3 linked regions of the Arabidopsis thaliana genome follow. The protein of the gene in region 2 interacts with the protein of the main gene of each other region in a pairwise test. Each region holds a gene or a part of one and is shown on either strand. Other genes may lie near its edges.

Region 1 (7,052 bases), on a different chromosome or scaffold from region 2:
AAAAAGAAGAAGTTCATTACGTGCTTTGAATTTTATAGTTGAATTTCTATTTCAGTTTTATAATCCAGTTGTACTTGTATGATGCGAATCTAATCTAGTGGTTCGGACTATCCAAGTCAGTTTCATGAATTAAATTATGGGGGAAAAATAAAACTATTTATTACAAGGATAAGGGCAAAGTGGCCCTAAGTTGATTATATATCTCTTTTGCATGGTAAAAGATTATTTCCACATATGAAAATATGCAAAAATCCAAAAAAGGATTATGTCTATATATTTTGCTGTCAACAAGAAAATTCCATAAGTGTATAATGAAATTTAGGATAATACATAGAATACCACTCTTTTTACCAGACGGCGACATTTTACACTGAGTTAAAACTTATAAGTTTTTTACTCGTTCCAACAGTAGTCAATTACTCGATAGGTGTTACAAGCCTAGCTATATATAAGGTCAAAAAAGGGAGTGAAAAAACGTAGTAACTTAATAGTAGCTCGTTGATAATATAGAAGATTCCACCCAAAAGAGAGCGATTCCAAAAGATATGGTGTCATTTTAGTTAGATTTAAATTTGAACTAATTAGATAGAAAAGATTAAAGATTTAATGGGAAATACGAAGTGAATAGAGCATGCATGAGTAAAAGTTAGAACAAATAGATGATATATTCTTGGGTAGTAACGTGTTATTTGACAGAAAATCACATGCATATATAAAATCGTGTGAACACTTATACTGTATGTTTATCATGCGCATGGACTATTGGACTCCATAAATAGCAAGGTTATGGTTAAATGTAGTAAAATGGCAAAAAAAAAAACATAATATATTATATATATATATATATATTCAATTAACTACAAATCCTTCAAAAGTATTAACAAAAAATAAACAAATCCTACAAAATATATTGTGTTGATTTTTTGCATATTTCTTTTTGTCGATGGTATTTTCTTCAGTGTAGGAAAAAAAAATTCAATTTAAGCAAGAATGAATTTTTAGTTTATATTCCACCAATTCTTCCCATTTCGTTTGCAAGTTCTCTATAAATTTGGTATCTTATTTTGGAATATATATTCTACCATAAGACTACATGTTTGATATGAATCGTCAATTTTTACTTATCTATCGGTCTCAATCCACTCTAAGTTTTAGGGTATTCGGAACTCAAATTTGGTTAGAATACATATACAGAGAATGACGACAGGTAGAGTATATAGCATATACATGTACGCGATCGCAAATTTCTATTATAATCTTTAATTAGATAAGTAGAATTTATGTACTATTATTTTCTTTTCTTAGGATAATTTTTATAACTTTTACAAACTTAAATTAAAATGATTTCTTAGAGTAATTGACAATAACAAACCAAGAAAGTCAAAAGAGAAAAAGAAGAACCTCAAAGTCTTTTGTGCATGTGTGTGTTAGTGTCATGCATGCACTCTATATATTTATGATTTGCAAAAAGAAACATATATGTTTCTATTGAATAATTCTTTCTTTTCTTGATGAAATAATCAATATTTCCTTATATAAATAATACCCCAACTGTAGAAAGGAAAATACCTATAAATTAGTTGAATACATATAACCAAATATTAAAATTACGTCACCATACTATTTTTTTTCCAAAATATATGATTCCTACCAACCCTAAATTTCATTTCTATATATATTATATACCAAAAAAACATATCTTAACAAAGTCAAAAAAAAACCAAAGTCTTTCACTTTGTGTCTGTTCTAAATCTCTGCGAGTTTTCTTACTTTTCGAGTTTTGTGTGTGTCTTCAAGTGTCGTGCATGCATTTTATGCGTTTCGTTCACTTGCATGCTCTCTCCCTCTTTCTCTCTCTATCTCACCCATAAAAGTTTTAATTTTTCACATCGATAAATTAAATTGAAACAAAAAAAAAAATTCACCCAAAAAAAAAAAACCTCGTTGCCTTCTTCTTCGCCGTTACAGTCCTCTTTCTTTCTTCAATTCGCCGTCAAAATCTTCTCTTTCTCTTCCCCCGCCGGTCCTTCACCAATCCTCTGATCTCTCTACACACGAACCTTTGATTTTGACCAACGTCGATGCATGTTCATGACTAGTCTCTTCCTCAATCCTTCAATTTCATCAATTCACGTCGATTTCGTATCCGATTCGTTGTTCTAGCTCTTTGTGTGGTGTTAGGGTTTTAAGATTTTGGAATTGGGGTTTGGAGTTTGTGATGTTTGAAGTCAAAATGGGGTCAAAGATGTGCATGAACGCTTCATGTGGTACGACTTCTACTGTTGAATGGAAGAAAGGTTGGCCTCTTCGATCTGGTCTTCTCGCTGATCTCTGTTATCGTTGCGGGTATTTCTCAATCTCTCTAATTTCCTATTCTAAACTCCAAATTTCGTTTGATTTTTGACTAAAGTCTCGATCTTTTCGTGACCCTCTTCTTGATTCTCTGTTTAGCTCTTAGTTTGTTCATGTTCTGTTTTTTTGACTACGTATATGGTTTCTTAGTGCGAATCTTGACTCTTTTAATCTATAAATAGGGAAAAAATATGTGACTTTGGTACATAAAAGGAAAAAAATTGAGACTTTGGTTGTAATGATTTTGTTATAGATCTGCGTATGAGAGTTCTCTATTCTGTGAACAATTTCATAAGGACCAATCTGGTTGGAGGGAATGCTATTTGTGTAGCAAGGTGCGTTTTTTGAAACTGTGTGAATATGTTTGTTTTTTCTATATATAGAGTTTAGTGGTGATGTTTTGTTGTTCTGATTGAGATTCTGTGATGACAGAGACTACATTGTGGATGCATTGCTTCTAAGGTAACGATTGAGTTAATGGACTATGGTGGTGTTGGTTGTAGTACATGTGCTTGCTGCCATCAACTCAATTTGGTGAGTTTTTACTAGACTCGGTTCAGCGTATTCGAGTATATTATATGTAAGTTGTTGTTGTAAGGATTCTGTCTTCACGTTTTTCAGAACACAAGGGGTGAGAATCCAGGTGTTTTTAGCAGATTGCCAATGAAAACGTTAGCTGATAGGCAACATGTAAATGGCGAAAGCGGAGGAAGAAACGAAGGCGATCTCTTTTCTCAGCCACTAGTCATGGGCGGAGATAAAAGGGAAGAGTTCATGCCTCACCGTGGGTTTGGTAAGCTAATGAGTCCAGAAAGTACAACCACCGGGCATAGGCTGGATGCTGCTGGGGAAATGCATGAATCATCACCTTTACAGCCATCTTTAAATATGGGTTTGGCTGTGAATCCGTTTAGCCCATCTTTTGCAACCGAGGCTGTCGAGGGAATGAAACACATCAGTCCTTCTCAGTCCAACATGGTCCATTGCTCTGCTTCTAATATACTGCAAAAGCCATCAAGACCTGCTATTTCAACTCCTCCTGTGGCTAGTAAATCCGCTCAGGCGCGGATTGGAAGGCCTCCTGTCGAAGGGCGAGGGAGAGGCCACTTGCTTCCGCGGTATTGGCCAAAATATACGGATAAAGAGGTTCAGCAGATCTCTGGAAAGTATCCTTTATTTGCTTCTAGTACTTTTGCCAAATATTTTATTCTGGACAGACTTCTGGTGACTCATTGTTTATCTTAACAAATTCTAGTTTGAATTTGAACATTGTACCTCTCTTTGAGAAAACTCTTAGTGCCAGTGATGCTGGTCGCATTGGTCGTCTAGTTCTTCCAAAAGCCTGTGCAGAGGTAAATTTCCCATTCCTATGGTGATGTCTTTTCTTGTCCTTGAAATATTTTGTAGAGTTATGACTGATGTCTGCATTGGTATATAGGCATATTTTCCTCCGATTAGTCAATCCGAAGGCATTCCTTTGAAAATCCAAGATGTGAGGGGTAGGGAGTGGACGTTCCAGTTCAGATATTGGCCCAATAACAATAGTAGAATGTATGTTTTAGAAGGTGTCACTCCATGCATACAGTCCATGATGCTACAGGCTGGTGATACAGGTACTTTTAATATAGTTCATGTCTTAGCTAAAGCTTCAAGCATTTGCTGGTTTTAACATCAAATTTTCATGAACCATTTTCTAAAACTATTGTTGGTTTTCTGTGTTTTTCACCTCTACAGTAACTTTCAGTCGGGTTGATCCTGGCGGAAAACTAATCATGGGTTCCAGGAAGGCAGCTAATGCTGGAGACATGCAGGTTGGGGTTTCTATGAACTGGTTTCTGTAGGAATGTGCTGGTTTTTATTTTCTGCTTAGCTCCATTCTTATCCGGTTACAATATTTATAAATAGGGTTGTGGGCTCACCAACGGAACATCAACTGAGGACACATCATCGTCTGGTGTAACAGAAAACCCACCCTCCATAAATGGTTCCTCGTGTATTTCACTAATACCGAAAGAGTTGAATGGTATGCCTGAGAATTTGAACAGTGAGACTAACGGGGGCAGGATAGGTGATGATCCTACACGAGTTAAAGAGAAGAAGAGAACTCGAACCATTGGTGCAAAAAATAAGAGACTTCTTTTGCATAGTGAAGAATCTATGGAGCTGAGACTCACTTGGGAAGAAGCTCAGGACTTGCTTCGTCCCTCTCCTAGTGTAAAGCCTACCATCGTTGTCATTGAGGAGCAAGAAATTGAAGAATATGACGTACGTGGTAGATCATGTTGTTTTTTACAACCATTTGATTAACCCTTAACTTGATCCTTGGTTAAGTCATAGTTCATGTTAATGTTATACACAGGAACCTCCTGTCTTTGGAAAGAGGACTATAGTCACTACAAAACCTTCAGGGTTAGTTATTTCTTTCACTTCTCAAGTAAAAAAATAAAATGAATGGCAACGTATCTTCTCCTATAGTTTACTTCCATACTTGCAAATGATTTACTAACAAATTTCTTTGTGGTCCAGTGAACAGGAACGATGGGCAACTTGCGACGACTGCTCTAAATGGAGAAGGTTACCTGTAGATGCTCTTCTTTCCTTTAAATGGACATGTATAGACAATGTTTGGGATGTGAGTAGGTAAGAACTTTCACAAGTCTTTTCTTTAATCTCATGATCGCTTAAATCGAAGATCATTTAGAGTTTTTTTTTTTCTCCCTAGTGTCCTGTCACTGTAATTAATAATATATTCATTGATAGGTGTTCATGTTCTGCACCGGAGGAGAGTCTGAAGGAACTTGAGAATGTTCTTAAAGTAGGAAGAGGTATGAAATCTTTTATTTCCTGGCCTCTCATGGTTCTTTCTCATTATCTAGACTGCTTCCAAGTAGTTGTGACTTCTGAGCAATTTATGGTTTGGCGTTCATATAAAACATTCAGGATATGTATCTGTTATTTGTGCATGTTGCGCCTTCCTTATGTTAGAATTTTATCAAAATATGGATTGTTTGCTTGGTATCCTGCAAATTTGTTTCTGAACGCAGCTTACTTTTCATAATCTCAGCTTATTGAGAATCTCAAGACACTAACTGTATGCATATATATATAGAGCACAAGAAGAGAAGAACTGGGGAAAGCCAGGCAGCAAAAAGTCAGCAAGAACCGTGTGGTTTGGACGCACTGGCGAGTGCAGCAGTCTTAGGAGACACAATAGGCGAGCCAGAGGTAGCGACCACGACCAGACATCCAAGGCACAGGGCTGGATGCTCTTGCATCGTGTGCATTCAGCCACCAAGTGGGAAAGGTAGGCACAAGCCTACATGTGGCTGCACTGTGTGTAGCACCGTGAAGAGAAGGTTCAAGACGCTTATGATGAGGAGGAAGAAGAAGCAGTTGGAGCGCGATGTAACAGCAGCAGAAGATAAGAAGAAGAAGGACATGGAACTGGCTGAGTCTGATAAGAGTAAGGAGGAGAAGGAAGTGAACACAGCGAGAATAGACCTGAACAGTGATCCATACAATAAAGAAGATGTTGAAGCTGTTGCGGTGGAGAAAGAAGAGAGTCGAAAAAGAGCAATAGGACAGTGTTCGGGCGTGGTGGCTCAAGACGCCAGTGATGTTTTAGGAGTTACAGAGTTAGAAGGAGAGGGTAAGAATGTTCGTGAAGAGCCGAGAGTTTCAAGCTGATATGGAAGGAAAAAGGGAAAGGGTAAAAGCCAAAGTCATAGCCAGTTTTATTAATATGCTGAGACCAAGAGTAGGAGAAGAAGAAGAGAAAGAGAGAGAGAGAGAGAGAGAGAGAAGTACAGTTTTGTGTTTGATTCTGTCATAGTTGTAGGAAAAATAAGTTTCTGGTTCTAAACAGCGACAATGTCCCATCTTTTGTTTTTTGTTTTTGTTTTTGTATTTTTATGGTATCGTGTTGAGTTTGGGGTTTATAGTATGTCTCCATTAATCTAGGTTTTGTTGTAGAAGGCAAATGGAGCTTTGTGCTTGGTGATGAAACAGTTGAGTTGATTTTTTTTTTTGTAATTGTTTTCAACCAAATGCCTAGTTGGTTTAATTTTTTTAAAAGTTGTTTCTTATAATATTGTTAAACACAAATTATGACAGTTGTTGAAAACTGCATGAAGTAGACTTGTAAATGGTATAAGGAGATTAATTAAGAGGTTAAATCATTTTACCAAAAACAATTACGATAAAACCTCTACAAATTAATAATATTAGAAACGAAAAATTCTATATATTCATAAATATATTAATTTATCGATAATTTTAATAATTATTAATTTATAGTGAGGTTTACTAATTTTGTAATTAAAAAAATAATATCTAAAAAACAATTTTTTCTTTACAATCAATATATTTCTAAAACAGTTACAAGTAGAAAAACAATAATAAGTTTAGAATAAAAAAACAACATAAACTTTTTTACATGTAGTAAGCATATTTGAAATGAACTCTACCAGAATTAATATTAACTTAAGAAAAACAAACAATATTAAGTCATACTACACTAAAGTTTTTACATATAATATATATATATATATGATGTCATATATAAAATACTATTATATATTATAAATATTAAGTTGTATATATAGCAATAAGTTTAACAATTGTTAATTTATGATATGATGAGATAATATGTTTACATAGAATTTTCAAAAATGACTTCTTAAAATTATTTTATTGATTTA
Region 2 (7,936 bases):
GATAACCCTTCCTGGTTTCCGGGATTTCTCATACTCATACAACTGAAGCAGCTTGTTGTCCATTTCATCGGCTACAATAGCTTGAAGCTGCAGATGGATAATATTAGAACATCACAAGGAAGGTAACATAATGTCGATAACATAAAAAAAATTGTCCTAAACCACTAGTGTGAGTAACACCTGCTTAACCAATCTGTAAATCAGTTTGTCCAACGTGAATAACACATATGATTGGTTTCCAATTATAGCTCTGCACTCATCCTCAAACTTGGTATTTTCAGCTGATCCATCTAGCAAACCATACAAAACCCTCATAAACCTGTACAACACACAGATCAGATTTTGATGGGAACAACATGTATATGATTATCTACATAGGCTAGTATAAAAAGTTGTACAAAGGAAGGTACCTCGCATAAGGATCTCCGGCATTGGTATCCTTTAAGTTTTTCGATTTCAGTTCACCGCCTGAGCAATTCCTTTTTGCATACAAAATTCTCTCGTACAGGATCTGAAAATGCACCACGTTATCTTTGCTAGAGAGAATCAATTTCAATAAATAATTAGGTAACTCACTTGGTGAAGCCTAAAAAGAACATAAAAGTCGTCATTCCCATAGAAAACTTGGAGATCTTTTGTTCTCTCATCGCATAAAACTGCTGCGACATGCTTTGAAAGGGGTCTGACGGATAAGAGAACACGTTCTGACTGTGGAAGCAGCTCACTTTCTCCTTCTAAGAGATGTGGATCCATTCCCTCCGCTTCTCCTTCACTCTCAGCTTTACCATCGATCTCATCATGCTCACCATTCTCCTCCTCTCTATCTTCGTCCTGAGAACATACGTCGCCACCAGATTCAGTTCCAGATGCCTCGGAAGCATTTTCACTATCAACATCGTCAGCATCGTCCTCATTCTCTACTTCAGCATCTGCCTCTACTTCAGCCTCTGCTGAATTCTCTGGTTTGGATGTGGACTTCACCCCATGATCTTTGTAAACACCAAAGTTGTCTTCAAAATCACCATTAGGTGACAGTTCACCTTCCTCTTTCTCATTTCTGGAGGGACCTTCGGGATCATCAGAATTCCTAGTACCTTTAGAAGAATCTGACCTTAATCCATTTGCCAAAACTATCGAATTGCCAACATCACCTCCCTAGTAATATGACAGAGTCAGAAGGGTCCGGAAAGCATAATTATAATATAAGACACATTTTAAATTTTTACACCCCTGGGTCCCATAGGTAGTACTGTAAATTTTTACATCCCTAAGCTATGGAAACCTCCAGGTAATAGTGGGTTTAGGCGAATATATAAATATGGTACAACGAGCAACTGAATGGTGTAAATATGGTACAACGAGCAATTGATTGTAGTACTAGTACCTGAGTCGAATGAACAGTTTCAATGCTATCTACATCATGATGAATATCAGTGAGGGTGTCGCTTGGTTTGGCTTGAATCTCATGTGCACCTTAATTGTAAAGTAACAAATATCAACACAAATAATCAAGCAGCACAAATAAAATTAAATAGCTTAAATCTGGAAGGCACCTGGCAAAACTTCCTTGCCTACTACACAATGATTGTTTTCTGCCCCACTTGGGATTGATATACTCGAGATGGCTGCTCTTTCGCTAATATCCATTGGGATAGGTTTTCCAAACCTTTTCTCGGCTTCATTTCCAGTTTCTTGTTCTTTCTGAGGTTTCACAGCAGAGCAGGCAACACCATCTCTGTTAGCTATTTCAACATCTTCAAGATTTTCTTTCCCTGTCGAATCTTTATTTAACAAACCTATCCCATGTTTGAATGTCCCAGATGAAGAATTCTCATCTCCATTGGCAGCAGATTTAAGTTTCCTAGAAGCCAACCTTGCTGTGTCTCCTCCAGAACTCACAGCAGCCTCCCCGTTAGGAGATGTGCTGTGATTCACATCGAGAGTCTTGGGGTTTATTACAACATCTTCAACAAGATCTGTGCCCTTGGCCCTGGGAGGAACACCCAGCACTGCCTCCAGGAAATTTTCCCAAAGCCTCAGAACTTTACTGAGCTGTTCTTTTGTAGAACATAACTCCTCACATGAAAACTGGACTACTTTGAACATGTCTTCATGAATAGCTCTGTTCAAATACTCATATTCAAGATTAGGATTTATAGGTTGTCTGTAACCAGCAGAAATAGACAACAGAACATCATCATCATTCTGAGACTTCTCTTTCAGCTCCTTAATTTCAGCCAACAATGCTGGTTCACGAAGCAATAAAAAAACAGAATGAGAAAGGAATAAGTGAAAGGAAAAATAGCACTGCCGGATGTATGTGAGCGATAAAACAGGATAAAGGAACTACTTGAATATAAATCTTCTTACGACTTCTATAAGTCTACTTACATTTTGCACTCAAGTTCTTTGAATCTTGTTGCTTGAAGTAGAAGCTGCGGTGATCAAGTGACTTGTAATGGTTTTTTGCATATACGTTCGCCCAGACCTTATCAAAATCGTCACGGCATTTCTTCCATTCACCTTGTTTCTGCTTTAAACGAGTTAGGATTACAGGAAGTGCAGTGGCTGGATTCTTATTTAATATGTCTATCACGTCAAGACCATGGTCGCCATAAAGTCGCTCAATACACCTTAAATTTAGGGCTGTAAATATGTCAATAAGAAAATGGTAAAGTTAATAACCAAACATATGAGGACACCTAAATAGGGGAAGAGAGAAGATATAACTACGAACTGTAAAATGGTCCCAAAAAAGCATACAGACCCGTAAAATGGTCTTCGATCCTGAAGGAGCCAGAAAAACTTATTTTCTTCTCTGTGATGATGTTCAACAAACTTTCTGCACTTCTGGCCGCAGAGCTCACAGATTCCAGCAACATGTCCAACTCAAATCTGTTATAAGCAGTAATTAACATAAATGACCAATTACTTCAAACTATAATATGTATGTTGTCAATATAAATACCTATCATCTTCGCATCTGAACAAGCTCTCTTCATATTGGTTTCTGCGCATGTGCTTAAAAGAATAATCTTCACTTCCGGAAGTGACAGATACCCAATGATCATTTAAAACCTCAGCTCCTAGCTCCGATCTCTGACTCGCAATTGGTATCGGATACTGCAAATATAATATTACAGTAAGTAAAAATCCAATGAACATGCTCAAAATGCAACTTGGAAATAGAAGCTTACATCCGCAGGCAGAAGCCGGTAGCTAGGAGTGCAACACTCGCAATCAGAGAGATCGAGCTCTTGAATAGATTTTCCCATGTACTCCTTCTTGCATTGCTCAGTTTCCTTCACAGCCTCGAGTTCAGGCTTGTGTTCACTTTCTTTCTCTTCCACCTTCATTGGCCTGGATAACTGTTCTTCGCTGCTAAATAATTCTGCCAAGTGTACCAGCAATGTCAGTAAAGATTTTACAAAGTAGGAGGGAAAGAGACAATATTATTCACAGCTGGGAAGTTTAAAATAGCAGCATACTTTTGCTCATAACACCAGCAAGACGCTGAAATCCATCTACAAAAAGAGGATGACCGTCAGAAAGAAGAAGATTGCTGATATGTAATAACTATTAAAATAACAATACGTATTTCAGTACCAGTAATACTCTCACACCGCTCGAAGAACTGGTTGAACTCATCCATCAGATCAGGAAATTTCCCAAGAAGATCAGAAACCTGAAAGAAAATGAATGGGATTTAATACAACTTCCTGAACGTTACCACAAGATCAACCCCTGATCACAAATTGCAATACCAAGTTTTGCAGATCCTTCCTTTGGATTATTCCATTGCTAAAAATATTGAGGCACTTCAAGAATGTCTGATAATCATCTTGGCTGCATAGTCTATCCTTGACTTTCTCACAGAAAACGAATGCTTGTTTGTACATACCTAACACAAAGTAAACATCTTAGAAAACAGAAGCAGATCTTCGCACCTTAAAGATCACCATGCAACCAAAATTGGAAAATAAATTCTCTCTCAAAGAGAAAGAATTAAGGTGTCCAATGTTTGGGACTCTTAAAAAATAGAAAAGGTACCAAGCAAATAAAAAAATGTTTGACACAGGAGTTAGCTTACTTTTCAAATTGTCTTTCTCAGAATGTGAAGCAGAACCAGAATATGCTTCAAGAGCTTCAGCTCTTCTGGACGACTTTCTTTTCTCTGGAAAATGGTGTAGGTTATCTTGACCTGCTTCTCTATCGTCCAAATCACGGCCTCTCCTTGCCCTGTTCTCCTTATCAAGGCGCTTCCGCTGCTCTCTTTGAATCTTCACCATCGTTTTATCATCATTAAGGTCATAACGTTCAACACTATAATCACCGCGGAGAGCAACAGCCCTTTCTCGTCGGCGTTCCTGGTGATAAAAAGTTGTAGCGGGAACAAAATTGAGATACGTGGCAAAAAATAGAACAAGGAAAAATATGAAACAAAGATCAAACGAACCTTTTCCACTTGCATTTGATGAAGTAGAGGAGGGTCTGATCCTCGGTCGCTGTACTGTTGAGCCTGACTCCGGCTATGCTGCGCTGCTGAATGAGATGGCAAAGACGCTGGCAAAAACCTAGTAAACTGTTCAAGCAAATCCAAGTGGCCTTGAAAAAGAATAGATACCTGGAGCATAGATATTCGAAGGTTAGAAAAAGTTTGGAGTGGCATTACAGGTGAGATGAAGTATATTACCTCGTTGTACACCTCTTTAATTTCCTTGTTCTCCTTTCGGTACATATTCAAGATTTCCAAGAAAGATTTATAGACATGTTCATCGTGCTTGAATCGCATCTGCAGTGAGAAAAAAGAAACTTGTACATTGAGACACAAGATGTAAGCGCACTTCAAAAGAGAAATATAAGACCAAGATTTCGACAGCACCTTAATTTTATTCACAAAATTGATGGCTTGTTCGAATTCAACAGTCTTCTTTGGCAGAGCGTCGTCTTCCTCAATAAGCGTAATTTCATATCCCTTAGGCAAAAAGGTGTTGAATCCATAAATCAAATTATTATGTCCCTTAAACAATTCCTTAACTCTTGCGATCACACCGCCTGTGTCGGTTCTGAAAATGCAAGACGAAGAATTAATACAATGCCGCCTACTAAAACTTACTTGAACTTTGAAGTCGATAGAGAGTGAAAGAGCTAACCTTTGAGCCTTAAAATCTTTCATAACCTCGAGGAACCTGTCATATTTCTCGCGTTGATCTTGAAACATCTCTTTTACTTCCCTCAGGTACGACAACGCATCATTGGTTGTCAATTTCTGAGAGACTCTCCGGCTCCCTCCTTCTTCTTCTTCTTCGGTGTCACCACTGCCGTGGACCGGAGATTGTCCACATCTGCACCAAATCATCTCTAATCGATTACTTAAAACTACTCAATTCATAACAAATATTTGTCACTCTCCATGCAGAATTATAGAAAACCTAATCGCCACAAAACAGAACCAAGATCAAAACCGAAATTTGAAGGGTGAATTTAGAGAAACTCACAATTGGCCTCGAGAAGAACCAAGAGGACGTCTAAATTGAGACCCAGAGGCATATACATCATCTCTTATCCGCTTCATCACAAGTTAATTAACGAAGCAGAGGATCAAAATTCCCTCCAGAGGAAAAATATGTATGAGACCTACTTTCTATCACTCTCGAGAAAACATATGTAGTAGATGAAATCAGATACTCAGATCTCTCAAAGGAGAACAGAATCGTTAAGAAGCGCTTTGATCACCGGCAATCATACATAGACAGAGGAAAATTCCGGCGAGACTCCAAATTCTCCGGTTTAACACACTAGACTGAATATGAATTGCGATGATACTGATAGGAGACGAGAAGTAGTAGAACGCAGAGTCGAAAACGAATGAAGAAGACGGAGAATTTCAGAGGAGTTTGCAACAAAGACGCTGAGAATTTTCGAATAAGGAAGGAGAAAAAGGCGGAGAGAGATTTTGCATTCTGGGGTCTCTTCGATGTTTCACTTTCTCTGTGTGTTTGCTGCTAACTACTGGTAAATTGGTAACTTATCTTTTATTCTACTTCAATTTGGGCCGGACACTCAAATATCTATTGGGCTTTTTAAAATAATAGGCCCATTTATCAAGAACTCTGTTTGGTCGGAAAAAATTGTGATGAATTTTTCATATAACAAGAAAATATATGTACAGATTTGCGTCAAGCATTGAACAAAATTAAGCACGAGCCGAAGAACCGATACATTGTCGGAAAAGTGATGATAAACCACAAGCGAGTTTGTTTCGTGTAGAAGATGAGATGTCTGGTCCTCTACGTATTTCAGAAAAGTATGGAGGTGGTGATGAAGAAGATGACGAAGAACTTGATTTCTGTGATGGATTTTTATCTTCAAGATCATTACTATTTCTTCCGGTTTGTTCTAGATGATTTTGAAGAATTGCTCCATTTTTTTGATCTAAGATGAATTGATCACTCCAAATACGACCCGAAGAACCTTGACGTCGGAACGAAACAGCTGATCTTTGTAGCGATGTCATTACTTAAGTTTTGAATCTTGTTACGATTATATCTTCTTTAATACCAAACTTATTTTATTCTATCAATTTTGTTGTGTGTTTGTTTCTTTTGCGTATGTATGAAGCTATTGTTTCAAGTGTTTGAACTTGTTTAAAGATAAAATGAACAGAATTAGTTGAGTTTGAAATTAGATTTTATCCAGTTTTGGATTTACTACAAAACATGCTAAATTAAGCTTAAAAGTTTATATCTACTCCCCAAAAAAAGGATATAAATTTTGATCTTGTCTTCCATTAAAATAGGATCCAATGACTTCAAGCCTTAAATAGATGTAGATTTTCTTACAAATTATTTTGTTCCAAGTACATATTTTTTTTTAAAATTAATATTTTGTTTTTTCTTGAATCAAACCAAAAATGAGAAGTTGTAAATTTTCAGTCAAGCCCATCCATATAAGCTAATTGAGTATTGGTTTGGGGTTTTTATGGGTCAAAAGAGGTTTATTATAATGGGCCTTATGAAGCTCATATACGACCCATAAGCGTTAGGGTTTTCCTCGAGAAACCTAAGAATCGCCGCCATTGGGGACCTTTATATACAAACCACACATGACTTTGACAGACATCAAGCTCTTATCAAGTCAGTTTAGGGTTCTCTGTTCAAGTTCGTATTTTATCTTCAGTTTAGTTTTCTTTAGATCTTTGGTTTTCGAGTTATGATGTATTGGTCCGTATAGATAATGCAAAATTGAGATCAGGTGATGAGGTAATACTGCAACAATATGATGGAGTAATCTTTGTGATTATTAGTATTTAAGTCTCTGATGATCTTAATCGTTTTCAACTAGATCTTTTTCGATTTGATTTTCTTCTGTTTTGATTGTTTTGTTTGAAACGAGAGATATGATGATCAACAAATTGGTCCGTGTTTCAGATTAACCGTGACCGAAAAAATTCTTAACCAAACTCTGATCTCTCTTCTTTTCTTTCGATTTTTTAGTATTTTCCTTCAAATTTCGTTTTGGATAATTTCTTCTTCTGCGGTGATGATTTTATGAGAAATTCACATGTCAGACTTCAGAGATTCTTGTAATCTATGAGAATAAATTCATATATCTGAGCAGAAGATTCGAATTATAAAAGACTCACACATATACATTGACCGTTTACAGAGATGGAATCATAGAAACAAATAGAACAGTTTGATTTATTTAACCAAATAGTTCAATTAATGGAAGAGGTTCAGAATCTGGTCTTCGGAGTTGTCATACTATTTAGAAATCTGGTCTTATAATCTGAACAATCCTAATCCCACGGTTCAACAAACTTTTGACATGGATCAAACATATAACAAACCATTAACGATAAAAGACTCAAATCAAGCGAATTAAAAAACAAGACTCAGGTCAACAAACCATATTAGCCTACGTTGCATCACGA
Region 3 (5,025 bases), 7.4 Mb from region 2:
ATAATAAGTAATAGTAGAGGAGATTACCATTCTTTCACCCTTTTTATCAGGGGGGTACATCTTTGCTTTTCTATTTGGTGTGTGGGAGTTCTTTGTAGAGCCACCTCGTTGTGAAGCCTCAGCCAATGCTAATGCTATCTCATGTTCCATATCATCATCAGTATCATCCCCCTTCTGATTTAAACCTCTCTTAACAGGTGATAAATATCTTTCCCTAGTATCCTTCTCAAGGGTGTATGAGATAGGAATTCTAGGAGTCCTTTTTCCAACAGCACGAGGCATAGTCTCTTGGCACATGCAAATTACGATTAATAGAAAAGTTAGCAACTATTAGATCGTTTCCATTAGACAGATAGTTAATGATCCAATAAAATTCCGGGAGGGAAGATCATTTTTATCCCACTATATACATTTAGGGAGGGTACTAACTTGAGTTGCATCATCTCAAGATACTGTTTTCAATAAATTTAGTGTACAAGATAGGTGCTAGTAAAATAAAGGAAAGAGCAGTTCTATCTAAGCTGATTCTGCAAGGCATCAACAACATGCAACACCAGCAAGACTGCAATAGTTGAGAAAAACAAAATTTGCACGAAGCAAAGACTCATGCATATATATAACTGTATGTGCTCACGCAACTCATGCTTGTGAAATGGGGAACAGATTTTGAGGCAAAGAGAAACAGAGAACACTACCAGTACGTCTCTTCTTCAGCGATGGCATGAAGCCTGAGGAGGACCTAAATTGTAAGCGGTCAGACAGACCCTCTAGTCCTATAGAGGGATGATCTGAGGATTTTACTCTAGAGCGCTTAGGGGCTGACCTCGGAGTTTCAATGCCTTCATTATTTTCCTGCTCACTGTCACTTCCTCCATGCTAGAGAAGAGATAGACTCGTTACATAATAATATGAAACCAAACCCCATACTACCAAATTATATTCCTTCGCAACAGAAATGGAAATACTTAACTAACAAGGCTCAACAACAATCAACGTCACTAACGTCCGCAAAAAATCACAAAGTTAGCTGGCCATGTTTCTAAGATATGCATAATGCTTAACAAAGAAACACTAAACCAAACGAATGTTAGAATTTATCTTTCCTGAGCTAAACTATATTTTCAAGTGAAAAAATCTGAACAAACAAGAGTGCTAAACCCCTAGGTGGAACAAACTTAAGTTGGCAGATGTTCCATAGAAACGGGTGGAAGACATGTACAATTGTTTTGAGTTTCAAATGGAAGTAAGTATGCTGAACTGGACCAAGTGCGTGTTAGTTATAACATATTTGAACGGTTTCAAACTTTTACCAGAACAGAGTAGTGATCCGTCATCATTGCAGTTAGGCCAACCACAGATGCAGTGCCTTCCGGAAGAGACAAGTAAGCCTAAAGTACAGATGGCATAATATAAGTGGAAAATGTTTAGACAAAGATCACAATACAAATCAAGGAGGAGAACATGCTGACCTTATTCATAGTGTATAAGGCCTCTACCATTTCTGCAGAACGGCTATGTACAAATCCAGCAACCTACAACCATAGATGAAAAAACACCATAAATATTGCTGGTTCTGCAAACCAAAGTGATTATAAAAATGACATTCCCATACCCATAACATTTGGCGGAAACTATGGCAGCAATTTATTACCCTTCTTTTGGAATAATGTAATGTTTTACTACAAATCATATACCAAATCGTAAATAATGTCTATTTTGCTAATTGAACTAACCTTTTTCCATTCTTTTCCGAATTTGCGGTATCCTTCATAAAAGCGCTCTAACTCTTCCTTGCTCCACTGAGGACCTAACATGTCCGACAACTTCCTCTTCTGCAAGTAAGGAGCACTATAAGATATGCTTGGAGACCAGCTGATAAAATTGGTCGCAGAATAACAACAAACAAATTTGCTCGCACATTGGAGACAAGGGTAAAACAATGTCTCCTCCTTGAAATAGGAATTGAAACAAAAACAACAACTTAAACGTAGAAAATATTTGAGTAAATGTTGAAACAAGAACAAAGAAAGGTTATTACTTGGATCAATCAAGAAACAAAAAGTCTAGCAAATAACTAGGTATATCCTTCTACAGCGAAACTATGCTAAATTTCCCAATCAAATCTCAGGCTGAGCAATACATAACCCTACCTAAAGTTGAGGTCATCCAGTAAAACATTAGGAAAAAAGCTTACCCGTTGTTTAGTTTTGCTCATACTTTCTTCGTCTTTGTGAGGAGAAACAGCTTTAGCACGAGGCTTCTTCTTGTACTTAGATTTCTTTGATCTTGAGGGCGCCATAAGTTAAAGCTCTTCTGTTACCTGAAACATTCCCAAAATTGAACCCAAGTTTAGATTTTACCAAGATACAACAAACACAATAAATCATAAGCTCAATCCTTGATAGATACATCTATTTATCAGTTAATCATCTCCAAAGAAACTGACTACCAGTACTAATGAAACTAAAGTCTACATGCAAAACCCACCTCATACCAAAAAAGTGTGCTCATTATCAGTATCAACCCTACTTTCGCTCAATAGAATATGAAACCCAGAGAAGTTTAAGAAACAACTTGTCCAAATTAGAAAATCAATCTCCTTAAGCAACTCCAGCTAGTGAAATTTATGCGAATTCAAATCACAAGACCTGACACCCATCGATTTTGAGCTTCGAATTTCAAAATCCAAAGCTCAATAATCAGTGCGCAGATTCCCCAGAACCAAATTTTAAACTCACAAACTTCGCACCTAATCCAAAAAACTTTCCTACCGAATAAAAAACGAAAATTGCAGGACGAACGATTAAAAAAGCTCAAATTATTTGAAAATTCGATGAGAACAAATCAGAATTAAAAAAAAAAAAAAAAAGAGAAGATTGAAAGAGCTTACCTACACAAATCCAAAATCACTCGGAAGCCATCGCCGGGACTTGAAGAAGAAATTACAGAGAGAAATTAGAGAAATCCGGTAAGAGATCGGAATATGAACAGATCAGAGCTTCTTCGGGTTTTTTGAGCGATCGAAAGAGAGATTGAGGAAGATGAAGAAGCAGCAAAAACAAGAGATTGAAACAATTTTTGGGGATATAACCGCGAAAACTTTAAAATAAAAAGAAAAATAAATATTAGAAGAATCCGATAAAATGTAATTTTTCGTTATACAACTTTTGTTGCAGAGAGTCTCTCTATATAAATAATTTGCGAAGATTCAATCATTTTTTTAAAACAAACCTACAAATTAAATCCAATTCGGTTCGGTTCGCCTTTATAAATTGGATTTGGATTGGTTAAACCAAATTTAAACCACACAGTTCGAATCCAATGCGGTTTAATTCTGGTTTGTAATAGTCAAGTTGAATTTTATTATAGTCCTTTATAGGGGTTTTCGAAATAGACTGAAGCAACAACACCATGTCTTTCGCTTACTCAATGGTTATGTTAAAAAGCTCACTTCCTAGAGAAACCTCATGGTTCTCACTGATGACATTAAGGTAAATCGTCTCAAGCTCGGTCACGACCACATCCATCTTTGGGCGATTTATCGGGGGATATTCCAAGCATTCCGACGTAATTATCAGATAAGCTTGGAACGATGGTCTCGTGAATGTTTCTGCAGGTATATTCTTATCCCAAAATGTGTTTGTAAAAAGTCTCGGACTTATCTACAAATCACAAATAAATTTCCAAACAATATATTTTTAAGTACATACAATTAACAAACAAAAAAAAGTTGTAAATGGAGAAAGAGAGGGTTTTTTTTTCTATTACGTACCCATTGTAAAACTTCATAGTCTGATTGTAACAGTCCAGGGTTTTGACAGGTGATAAGCTCTAGAAGGAACAACCCGAAGCTATACACATCAATTGTCTCCTCTGAACCACCTCTATAGAAAATATTCATAAGAACATATTTGTTAGGACTTTGAAGGAATGATGTAACTTATATGATCATAAGTGAATTAATTAATACCTTGGATTAGCGAGATGAATATCACTTGCTTGAAGCAGTCCCAACATTGCCCCATCTGATACCTTGGCATTGAGGTTGGCATCGAGCAAAACTTTACTCGCCGTAAATCTCTTGTGTTGTACTGGAGGATCTAAGTTGTGCAAGTGTAGTAACCCTGAATTGAAAAACAGAGAGACTTTAATATTAGTTTTTAGAACAATCAATGTGAGTTTTGGATCATCCATTTTGATTTACCTTTGGCTGCATCAAGAGCTATAGATATTCTTTTCTTGAACGTTAAGTCGCTAGACTCTACTCAATAACCAAAAAGAGAGATGATCACATAAAAATGATGTATGGATCAAATTTCAAGAGTTTACTATAATGCATTACTTACCACCTAGATAATCTCGGACGCTACCGTTGACCATATACTCAAAGACGAGCGATTGGTTCTCGTCGTCGCAACAATAACCGAGCAGATTAACCAAATTTTTATGTTGGATGTAAGAAACCTGAGACACATACAACAATATGTCACAAATACATAAATTATTTTCAATGAAATCACCAATTTTTTGTTTGTGTGTACCTCATCCAAGAATCTAGGTTGGGGACTACACCACTCCCTTTTGATCACAACGGGCATGTCCTTGATCAGCCCAGTGTAAACTGTTCCGTGACTTCCATGCCCAATAGTATTATCCATGTCAAAATTGTTCGTTGCTTGCCTTAATTCCTCCATCGAGTACTCGATCAGGCGTTGTGGCGTCACTTGTAGACGTGAATTACAAGAGCATCAAAAGATGTAATTACTTTCATGATCAGCACATTAACTAATATGTTTAAATTAAATAATAAACCCAATAAAACTTAATATTTGTATATAGAAAAGACACATTTAAAAGACTTGTAAAAAACTTTTCTTTGTCTTTTTATTACATCAAATGTATTAAAAACACTAAGTGTGGTTATAATGTCAAGATTAGACTTACCGGTTGAACTCTTGAGGGAGTTTTTGCCACACAGTAATATGGAAATCCAGAAAAGAGCGATTAGAATCGCTATGATCGCAA

What was found. Proteins that work in one complex are often made in the same cells at the same time.
Region 1: the proteins of SNL1 (region 2) and HSI2 interact in a two-hybrid assay, tested with the Arabidopsis thaliana proteins (one study listed by BioGRID).
Region 3: the proteins of SNL1 (region 2) and ALY3 interact in a two-hybrid assay, tested with the Arabidopsis thaliana proteins (one study listed by BioGRID).

The regions. Positions count from the first base shown.
Region 1 is NC_003071.7:12,979,891-12,986,942, reverse strand, and holds HSI2 (B3 domain-containing transcription repressor VAL1), read left to right. Parts: upstream 1-1,665; 5' UTR 1,666-2,218; coding exon 2,219-2,346; intron 2,347-2,605; coding exon 2,606-2,687; intron 2,688-2,784; coding exon 2,785-2,886; intron 2,887-2,973; coding exon 2,974-3,518; intron 3,519-3,607; coding exon 3,608-3,704; intron 3,705-3,790; coding exon 3,791-3,965; intron 3,966-4,086; coding exon 4,087-4,163; intron 4,164-4,257; coding exon 4,258-4,617; intron 4,618-4,711; coding exon 4,712-4,761; intron 4,762-4,878; coding exon 4,879-4,992; intron 4,993-5,112; coding exon 5,113-5,177; intron 5,178-5,461; coding exon 5,462-6,039; 3' UTR 6,040-6,515; downstream 6,516-7,052. UniProt on the Arabidopsis thaliana protein: Transcriptional repressor of gene expression involved in embryonic pathways, such as LEC1, ABI3, and FUS3. Repressor of the sugar-inducible genes involved in the seed maturation program in seedlings.
Region 2 is NC_003074.8:104,369-112,304, reverse strand, and holds the start of SNL1 (SIN3-like 1), read right to left. Parts: upstream 6,012-7,936; 5' UTR 6,010-6,011; coding exon of another isoform or gene 5,869-6,009; 5' UTR 5,576-5,868; coding exon 5,499-5,575; intron 5,346-5,498; coding exon 5,154-5,345; intron 5,067-5,153; coding exon 4,883-5,066; intron 4,793-4,882; coding exon 4,694-4,792; intron 4,625-4,693; coding exon 4,457-4,624; intron 4,368-4,456; coding exon 4,091-4,367; intron 3,902-4,090; coding exon 3,765-3,901; intron 3,686-3,764; coding exon 3,607-3,685; intron 3,525-3,606; coding exon 3,489-3,524; intron 3,392-3,488; coding exon 3,198-3,391; intron 3,124-3,197; coding exon 2,969-3,123; intron 2,896-2,968; coding exon 2,768-2,895; intron 2,647-2,767; coding exon 2,392-2,646; intron 2,247-2,391; coding exon 1,554-2,246; intron 1,474-1,553; coding exon 1,385-1,473; intron 1,156-1,384; coding exon 577-1,155; intron 512-576; coding exon 411-511; intron 320-410; coding exon 181-319; intron 88-180; and 1 more. Other genes in the region: AT3G01319 (uncharacterized protein), read left to right, coding at 5,869-6,009. UniProt on the Arabidopsis thaliana protein: Acts as a transcriptional repressor. A histone deacetylase (HDAC) activity is required for transcription repression. May play a role in telomere stability.
Region 3 is NC_003074.8:7,550,543-7,555,567, forward strand, and holds the start of ALY3 (DNA binding protein), read right to left. Parts: upstream 3,038-5,025; 5' UTR 2,891-3,037; intron 2,321-2,890; 5' UTR 2,300-2,320; coding exon 2,195-2,299; intron 1,833-2,194; coding exon 1,734-1,832; intron 1,533-1,733; coding exon 1,470-1,532; intron 1,389-1,469; coding exon 1,311-1,388; intron 877-1,310; coding exon 696-876; intron 288-695; coding exon 28-287; intron 1-27. Other genes in the region: AT3G21450 (Protein kinase superfamily protein), read right to left, coding at 3,423-3,623, 3,773-3,884, 3,971-4,124, 4,205-4,261, 4,350-4,464, 4,521-4,694.